2 linked regions of the Schizosaccharomyces pombe genome follow. The protein of the gene in region 1 interacts with the protein of each later gene in a pairwise test. Each region holds a gene or a part of one and is shown on either strand. Other genes may lie near its edges.

Region 1 (3,804 bases):
TTTTTGGGATTTGCACGTACGATGTAATTCTAATAACTTGTCCAACAAGTCAATGGCTAAAGCCACTTGATAATCTGAGCTTGTCTCTAAAATTAAATTCTCATCATTCTTCGTAATGCTAGCAATTAGGTCTAGCCAATTATGCTTTTGATCTAGTAGAGTCGGAATGTTATCTGACCAAATTTGTCCTGAGAGAAATACAAGTTAGCACCTCAAAAGTTGTCTCAAAAAGATTTGAAGCATTGGTTAGAAAACGATTTCTCTCTTCGTTTTTTCAACTTTTACGCTCAAGTGTTTAATAACTACTTACCATGTAATAATGCGCAGTTTGACATGCCATTTCTTCCAAAGATATGTGCTAATTCTACGATTGCATCGATATCATCTTCACAGCGGAAAAAAGGATATCGATGTGTTAAAAAACACAACAAAATGACTCCCACTGACCACACATCAATTGAGGATGTTTGATTTTGGCATCGAAACAATACCTCAGGCGCTCGAAATCCTCTTGTTCCGGCTCGGTCAGCACGTTTTGTAGGCCTTGGATCATGTAGCAAGTAACCCTCTGGAGGATCTGCTATCGTTTTCTCAAATGGAAAATAATCGTAATATTTTCCTTCTTGCTTCAGTTTTCTCAATTTATCGACACAGCAATTTTCTGTAGGTGCATCTGCCTCTTGCCATTGAGCTAATCCAAAGTCAAGTATGACTCCCCTTTGGGTGTAAGGATTCCAAGCAAAGTTACCTGGTTTGATATCTCGATGAATTATGCCCTTTGCATCTATATGTGCCAACCCTTTCAAGAGGTCTCTTAAGTACGCACCAATTTCTGGAAGAGAATATTTCATATAGAAGTCCCGGAACTCTGCATGTTGTATAAACGGTAGTACAATTAACACTTGATCTTGATGTCTTACAGCAGTTATCATATTTAGTACACAATCACTGCCTCGTAGTTCATGTAGCATCTCAAGTTCAGTTTGGATTCTTGAGGGAAGAACGGTGGCATAAATTCTTTTCAATGCAACAAAATGGTTTTTTGGTCTCTTGGTTTTGTCATGGGGCATCTGATCTTCTATTTGAGATGATATCCAGTAGGAGTTATCGTAGCTATCGAAATGTCTATCCACCGCTTTAAAGACGCTGCTAAAACTTCCTGCTCCTACTAACTTAACCACATGATAGTCTTCTTCAATGGTAGGGAATGCTTGCACCAATTTAGCAATTTCTGGTCGATCTTCTCGATCTACATCACTGGCGTATACACCTGAATTTCCGAAAGGTAATAGCATGGAAAGCATTTCCTGTTTTAATTTTTATTTTAGTCGCCTTTTGTTTGGTAAAGTGCGGGCTGTTAGATGAGGCACAATTTTCATTAATAGTTTGTTTGTTTGTTTACTTCGCCAAACCCAAATATTTCCCTCTAAGCAAAACTTACTTTTTGTTCCCTAAGCTTTGCTATATCGGCCCAAAGCAAATGAAAATGTAAACAAATGATGCCAATGAAGCACTCCAATTTGTTTATACAAATTTTCAATCCATGATCATCATTAAACGGTAGACAGTGTCAAAGTAAATTACTAGACCAGCTAGTAATTTAAATTACATATATTTCCTTTATAAAAAAATTTACTTTAGCTCTATAACTGGTAACATTTAGAGTCCTATTTAGAACGAAAGCATAATTTATCAAAATTTTTTAGTATGTAAACAATAAACAGCACACCTGTCATAACCAATTTTTGAGATTTCTTCAACACTTGGTTGATTCTTTACTAAATTAATTTAATATTATTATTTTTTCTGTTTATTTCTTGTACATTGTTAAAGGTTTTTGTTTATTGTTTACTGCTTACTACTGCAGTTCGTTTCCAACATAATTATATGCTAGACTGTTATAAATAGCTTTTTCTTTCTATACTTTAAGCCATGCGGATACGGCAAACGAATAACCGAAATTTATTTTATTAGTGTAAAGTTATCTGGGTTCTGATGACAGCATTTTCAACTCATATATTTCCACTCTAAAAAGGATTTACTAATTTTTTTTGTTGAATACGATAACAGTATCATTCGAATATATACAATGATATCGCATTAACGAGTACGAGTTAATTTTACACTTCCGTCCCTGGCTGTTGATGTATCTTCCGCAGACAATTGCCGTATCACTGAGTCTATGCTAAAGACATTGTAAGATTCACGTTAGAGAAGACCGTTTTTTTATTTTTTTTAAGCTACAAAGAAAACTTCGGGTTCACAAAATGAAATTCTTTCTAGGATCTGCTTTATTCTTAATCCTTACTTTTATCAATCTTGTTCGGGCTGAATTTGAGTTCATCACTCCTGCTGAAGGTATGTTTTTTATTTAATTTTTAGTATTGTAAAACTGACTTTTGTTTAAGATTCTCGATGGGCTAGAGGATTTACTTATGCTGTCAAATGGAAACAACCCACTGAACAGTTTGTCGAAATTGCTTTGCAATATGCCGACTCCAATAACACATTGATTACGAGCAGTGGTGTTATTCCTTCCAACCAAACTTACTGGATGGTAAAGATAGATAAGAAATGGCTTATGAAGATGGACAACATTACTGCGCGAGTTGTTGCTGTTCCTCAAAATGGTACCGCCAGCACGGTATATGTGGGTCCACAGGTCCTATTAGCGAACACGTTTTACTGGAAGATGGTAGTGGATGTTTCCCCTGCATTTTCTGTAAACCCGATTGACAAGAAACTTGCAATTGGGTTATCCGTTGGTTTATCCTGTTGCATACTGATCGTTCTATTTCTTCATTTTGCAACTAGGAGAGAAAGAAGGATTTTAAAAAACGAGAAAGAGCTGGAAATGTCTTCATATAGAAAGCATTAGCGTTTCTACTTTTCTGCGCCAAAAAATATACTATCTCATTCATCAGAACTGTTTCTATAGAGTAAATGGTCCATTATTAATTGGAAGGTAATACGCATTGCTTCTTAACTTTAAATTCAATGGCCTCTTTCACCATTCCTTGTCTGTCCGCTTTACTCCATTATTCGTTCCTTAATCACGCATGCTTCCAATACAGCTTTTGGGTCACATGTTTATTTATCTAAGGTACTTTTCATGTAAAATACCATTATTAGATTTACCCAAATTGACACTTTGGGTGTGTAGTTTTGCATTCTTATCTCACAACTTTTCCAATTGTCGCTACCGCATGCTCCTTTATTGTAATAATGAGGCCATCATTTTTTAGTTCTGATGGCTAGACTTTATTGTTTAATTTAGTTTTATAAAATTTTTGTTTTCCTGGAACTTGTGAGTTGTATGGTTAAAATTGTAATTAAGAGACTGATATCGCAACATTAAACGTTTAGCTAGCAAATACAAAATGTGTATCTTTTACTGTTTTATTAAGCAGCTTCGTTCGATATTCTGGTTCATTTATAATTAATATTTGTTTGATAGGTATTGCACTTTCTTTCGTGTTTGTAACTCAACCATAACCAAACACACTTGCATTGTATAAACCTCACAGCATGGATAAGCTAAATAGGACTAGATCAAGAGCATGTCTCATTTGTGGAATTGTTTTGCCTCATAGTGTTTTTGCTAACAAAGGCTGTCCGAACGATGGTGTAGACGACGTGGAAACATTTACCTCGCCAGTATTTGAAGGAATAATGGCAATGATGAGTCCCACCGAATCTTGGGTTGCCAGATGGCAGAGAATCGATACTTTTACTCCCGGAATCTATGCGACTCGTGTTCAAGGTGTATTAAACGAAGATGTAGTTGAATCTTTGCGTCGCAGA
Region 2 (5,546 bases), on another chromosome or scaffold:
GAGCATAAACAACAACCATCCAACTTCTTCTTGACTTATCGTTTTGCTTTGGAAAATTGGTTCATTGCTATATTTTGGTAAAGAACTTTTAACACTAACTTCAGGACTCTGCTCCAACTGGATATTGCACATGTAACTTTTGTTGCAAATGGCGGCCCAACTAGTTTGTCCTTGGAATGAATAAACGTCTCCCGGTCGTACCAAGTACATTCTAATATTGCCAATCCGCTTTTGTACGCACCAAAGATGAAATTTCGTGTACTTATTGGAAGTGACCTGCCGGGACACGTAGATGATCATTGCTCTCCATAGGGAGTCCTTCATGTCGTCAGTGTAATAATCGTATAGTAAAACATGTCGAATTAATACTGGCAAGCTATAGTTGCCGGTAGAAAAATGCATCGAAAGGCTTAATCCATCTACTCGATTCTTCTTTAAAAAAGCCCCTAATCGTTTCTGCACCAAAGGCATATCTACTTTGAACTCGTACACCTGTTCCTGCATCGGTGAATATTCAGAAGACACTTGCTCAACACTTTTGAGATATAGTTTATCCTGTCGACGCATAACAATATCCACTAACCCCCCTAAAAACGGATTCTTTATGAGACCTTTATTTCTCCCAGACACTACTACGATACCCAAGCTTTTACCTGTTAAATTCTCGATGGATAGATTACGATCCAACTTGGATAACCAATCCTGACTCGTAACATTAATATTCACATCGCCCGTAGCCTTAGCAGGACTGTTGTACTCGGCTTTGCGAGATTGATAGCCCGGATCCGATTTAAAAAACTGCTGGATTTTCCTTGTAGTCTTTCTCAAGAAAGAGTTTTCCTGACCTTCATCATCAACTTCTCTCAAAATATCCAAACCCGATTGATTAGATATCGACATATTGTCGAATGTCGGTAAAATACTTTGAAACTTTTAAAACTTCGAGAATCGTAGAAAAGAAGAAAAAGGATACCAATATCCAGAATCTCAAAACCACAGTGCGTCCAACTTAAAAATAAAAGGTAATGAAATGAAGTAAAAAAAAAAAATTATTAAAATTTGGTTCTTTCCAAAGGGCTTTGTTTCCTGTTAAATACTAAATATGAAATCGTTTATCTTAGCTTAGCCATTTTGCCATCTTCATCATGCTTTTCCTAACAACGCTCCCCAAGCCACGTAAAACATCAACTTTCGCAACTCGTCCTATTTCAAGTTTACGAAGACATCCAATTTCCTAATCGTCTCTACCCTATAATATTTTGTATAATCATGGTCTAAGCCATTTCATCGTAGCGATGAGCCTCTCGTAAGTTAATTAATGGCGCAGCATATCAATTTTAATCAACTTGTAATAGAATAGAGATGATCATGCTGTCTATTGCTTATAGTTACAAGACTAGATTTCCTTTCTCAACATGCAATAAGGATTGAAAAGTAAAAATGAACTACTTGTATGAAATTTTCGTTTTCGTGCTTAATTCATGATTATGACCTTTTGGAGTCAGTGACATACACCGTTTCCATTGACAGACATTATTGAATTTTTTTTTTACAATGGGGCAACAGTCAATGTTGGCGCAAGCTTAAGATGCAAATGCAATCTTTCATTTAAAAGCGGCTTGTTTCATCAATACATTTGACATTTAACGATGGCTTGTAGGCATTGTTGTAGACATCCACTCAGCCTACATTTTGTCAATACTTTTCTACACAACTTCTCAAACTCGTTCCTTTGTAGCTTAAAAATTAAGCGAACTTAAAAACTATTAAACTTTTTGTTAAACGAATTATTTGCATAAAATACCAAAAAGATTTTTTGTTGACTTTCACCTAACAAATTAAGAGCGGTTGGTTTTATTAAAAAGAAAATTTATTAAGATATTTCTCATTGCATTCCACTTCAATGCGTCGTAGAGCATATCATAAGTAAGGCTCTAAAAATAAGCCACAAACACTGATCGTTCTTCTGGTACAATGGTTCAAATTTTTTTTTTCTAGGAAGCTCGAAAAAGAAAATACAAACAAAAAAAAATTAAACAGCTCATTTCTTCAAAAACTCCTTTTATCCTCAATTTGTTTGAACTTTGTTCTGACAACCCGCTACGAATTGGCTTGGGACCCTGCTGACGGTCGGCCTTTTCCCTATTCTCACCACGAGCACCGTGGGGAAACTGTATAGTCGAAATCTTCGAGTTTTCTTGCTCAACATTTCAAGAAAACTTTTATACTATTCAAGTGTATCTAATTGTTACTTCACTCGTTATTTAGTACTTCTCTTTTACTTTGTCAAGCAGCACAAGTGTTTGATAAAGGTCATTCTGTATAAGGGGTCCTCTGTACCATTACACCTTGTACCTTGATATAAAAGATATTTACATGCATTTTATTTCCGTTAACTCACAGAATATCAGTTGTTTGGTTTTCTTCTTACGTGTGCTGGTTTGACTTGTTGTTTCCCTTTTTTTTTTTAAATTTGCACACACAGGATTCTATGAGAACTTTGCATTAAATGGTATAATGGGAAATGGAATCTAGCCGATTGTTTACACTTGGATTGGGAAATTCCGATGATGGATTGAAATCCACTTTTGGTGATAAAACAGTAACTTGTTTTTATTGCAACAAGAAGAAGGAAAAAATTAGAGACGGAACGTCTACTTGGACTTGCTCAATTTGTGAAGCCACCAACCATATTGATGAGAAAGGTGATATCCTGGATTATCGACCTCCAACCCCAACTCAAGACAAGGGTGTTGGTCCTTTTTACGCGATACGGGATTTCCCAAGCAGTTCTTCCTTTCAGAGCCCCTTTTGTGAAAAATGTCAAATGAACCAACTGATTGTGAATCGGATGCTTGCTGATTATCTGCCAGACTCATCACATCCAGATTATCAGGCTTATGAGAAGGCATTACCAGAGTATAAAAAATCTATAGAAGAGAAATTTCCCATTGTTTGCTCTGAATGCTATGACTCCGTTCAAGACCAACTTGATGCCAATGATTATGAAGCCAAAAATCAGGTTTTAGGATATTGGCTGCAAAAGTCAAAGGAACAGCTAAACGCAAAAGTCCCCCATCACTATCCAAAAGCTTCTTTTGTTCTTTGGTTACTTCGTGGATTTGGTTTTTCGTTTTTCTATTTGCAATCGATTGTGTGGCATTTGTATCATTCTATGATAATAAGCTTATTACCAGATGGTATTCGTAATTTATTTCTAAAAGCAATCTCTTACTTCCTATTAGATGGATCCTCTAGCAAAATTTTTTACTTTAATTGGCTTGGTTTTTTCGTTGTCTTTTGGAACCCGTATTGGTACAAAATGATGGACAATCCATCTTGGGAGCTTTTTGGGCGGGATCAGTATATCCAATGTCAGGCACTTTATCTTATTATCCGTTTAACTTGCTTGTATCTCCTTTCATGTTATGAGTCGGAAATTTTGAACTTAAGCTCGGATACCAATCTTGAAAGTGATTTTTTACTCCGTCAAATACATGCAGCCTTTTTCTTTGTTACCATTTGTTTTACATGGATTAGCATCTCATGTTTAAAGCCAAGTCCTCCTCCAGAAGTTCATTTGACTGGCGAAATTTTGAAACCACGCAAGAAGCGTCAGGAAAGTACATCTTCTGTGCATCGGATAGGAAAGGAATCGAGTGACAGAAAAGATGGAATTAGTGGGCAGAATAAATTGCAGCAATTTGCGACAATTTCAATTCTGAATAATACCAACGCAACGTCTCATTTGGGAAATCAGTCTGTTCGTGAGAGAGCTCCGGAGGAATCCCCTATGACTTTTCTTCAAAAAAAAATGGCCGCCCTTCCAACATCTAGTCCTGTTCGACCGATGCTTAAACCTACTCTTCAGCTTCAAAATTCTCCTTTATCGAAACTGGTTCCTCAAGAAGTGGGCAACAAAGTAAACGATTCTATTCATACGACGTCTAATCAGCCAAGTAAATTTTCCCTGAACCCTTCCATATCTCTAAAAGGTGATAACGTGATAGAGAAGAATTTACCTTTTTCCGTGTCTACTTTAAAGTCCACTGCAAAGAAAGATACTGGTAAAGCAGGGGATGGTCAAAATCGCGAAATTCAAAATGAGCCAGTGAGCCTTGAAAGTCATTTTAGTAAGTCTTTAGCCCTTCAGAACGATCCAACAGAAGTTATTCAGGTGAAAAACGTTCTTCACCGGAATCGTCGAAATGCAAAGCTTCTCATTGCTTTCACAATTTTGTTCCTCGTTGGGTTAATTTGCGGATGGCGTTTGAATCGTTTTACTATGTTCATTTACTATTTATGCATATTGGTGTTAGCCACATATTATGTTATGAAACACAACTTTTATCCTTTAAGAAAGGTGGCTTGATCTGGTTACTATTTAAAGAAGTGGATGCAAAGTAATATGGAATATATTCTTTTGCAAACCAATCATTCATTAATTTATCCAATTTTGGAATAAATTTCGTTACTAATATTGCCAGAGGCGGTTATGTCGCTATCATTTGTTTAAAGTTTTTCAGCTCCTTTCTGGCAACTCGACATATTCGAGCTAGCGCATTCGCACAAATGGGATCCAATATAAATTTACTTTTTTTTTCCTATTAAAGCTATATAATTAAGTATTTTTCATACTAACGAGTTTTATTTGATAAATTTCATTCGTTTCAATAGGTTAGTACTGAAAGAGAACATGTAACCTGAGCAAACTTCTGGTTCATACGAATACTAGCAATGGTGCATTCCCGAATATATGTTAGACACGTCGTTAAATTAGTTTAGGTTATAAAATCGTTAGAGTTAAACAATAACTTAAGAGAAATGAGCCGAGAATACTAGGATATTCAGATTTTCATTACTTTCTAATTCCGCTCAGGATTCTATGTGCAGGTAACATCAGGTGACCGAAGGATTCATTGGCATACTATAGGGCCATGAGATCTTACCTTCTTCCAATATTCAAAACTAAGAGTTTTATTGATTTCAGTGCAAATTTTGTAGTGACGAAATTTTTTTTTGCTGAAGTGATTGTTTAAGTATGAAACCTGTGTCTCTTGCCAAGTATATTCAAAAATCACCATTTTTGACGAAATTGCTTTTACCCATCTCCAATGCCTATGTGCATTTGTCAGGATACCGTAAATATGGTCTTCGATACGACGATTTGATGTTGGAGGAGAATGACGATACTCAAAAGGCGTTATCTCGTTTGCCTAAGATGGAATCCTACGATCGAGTCTATCGTATTCGCCGTGCCATGCAACTTAGCATTGAGAATAAAATTTTGCCAAAATCTGAATGGACAAAGCCTGAGGAGGATTACCATTACCTCAGACCTGTTTTAGCTGAGGTTATCGCGGAGAGGAAAGAGCGTGAGGCCTTCGACGCTCTCATTGTTAAGAAACCCGAGACTCAAGCCCATGCAACATCTTCTCCTGCTCATGCTCATTAAAAGTTTGCATGTCCTCCTTTAATCCACTTATTCCTCTCATGAAAACCGACAAGAAAATTAAAAGAGTAGTAAACGGATGTGAGAATTTTAT

The links.
Region 2: the proteins of psg1 (region 1) and ima1 interact in a protein complementation assay, tested with the Schizosaccharomyces pombe proteins (one large-scale study listed by BioGRID).

The regions. Positions count from the first base shown.
Region 1 is NC_003423.3:3,824,678-3,828,481, reverse strand, and holds psg1 (protein psg1), read left to right. Parts: upstream 1-2,155; 5' UTR 2,156-2,267; coding exon 2,268-2,358; exon of another isoform or gene 2,359-2,408; coding exon 2,409-2,878; 3' UTR 2,879-3,304; downstream 3,305-3,804. Other genes in the region: serine/threonine protein kinase (DDK family) Spo4, read right to left, coding at 21-188, 311-1,304; DSIF transcription elongation factor complex subunit Spt4, read left to right, coding at 3,529-3,804.
Region 2 is NC_003421.2:1,887,451-1,892,996, reverse strand, and holds ima1 (inner nuclear membrane protein Ima1), read left to right. Parts: upstream 1-2,132; 5' UTR 2,133-2,524; coding exon 2,525-4,372; 3' UTR 4,373-4,894; downstream 4,895-5,546. Other genes in the region: SPOM_SPCC737.04 (uncharacterized protein), read right to left, coding at 1-900; qcr7 (ubiquinol-cytochrome-c reductase complex subunit 6), read left to right, coding at 5,042-5,455. UniProt on the Schizosaccharomyces pombe protein: Inner nuclear membrane protein that specifically binds to heterochromatic regions and promotes the tethering of centromeric DNA to the SUN-KASH complex.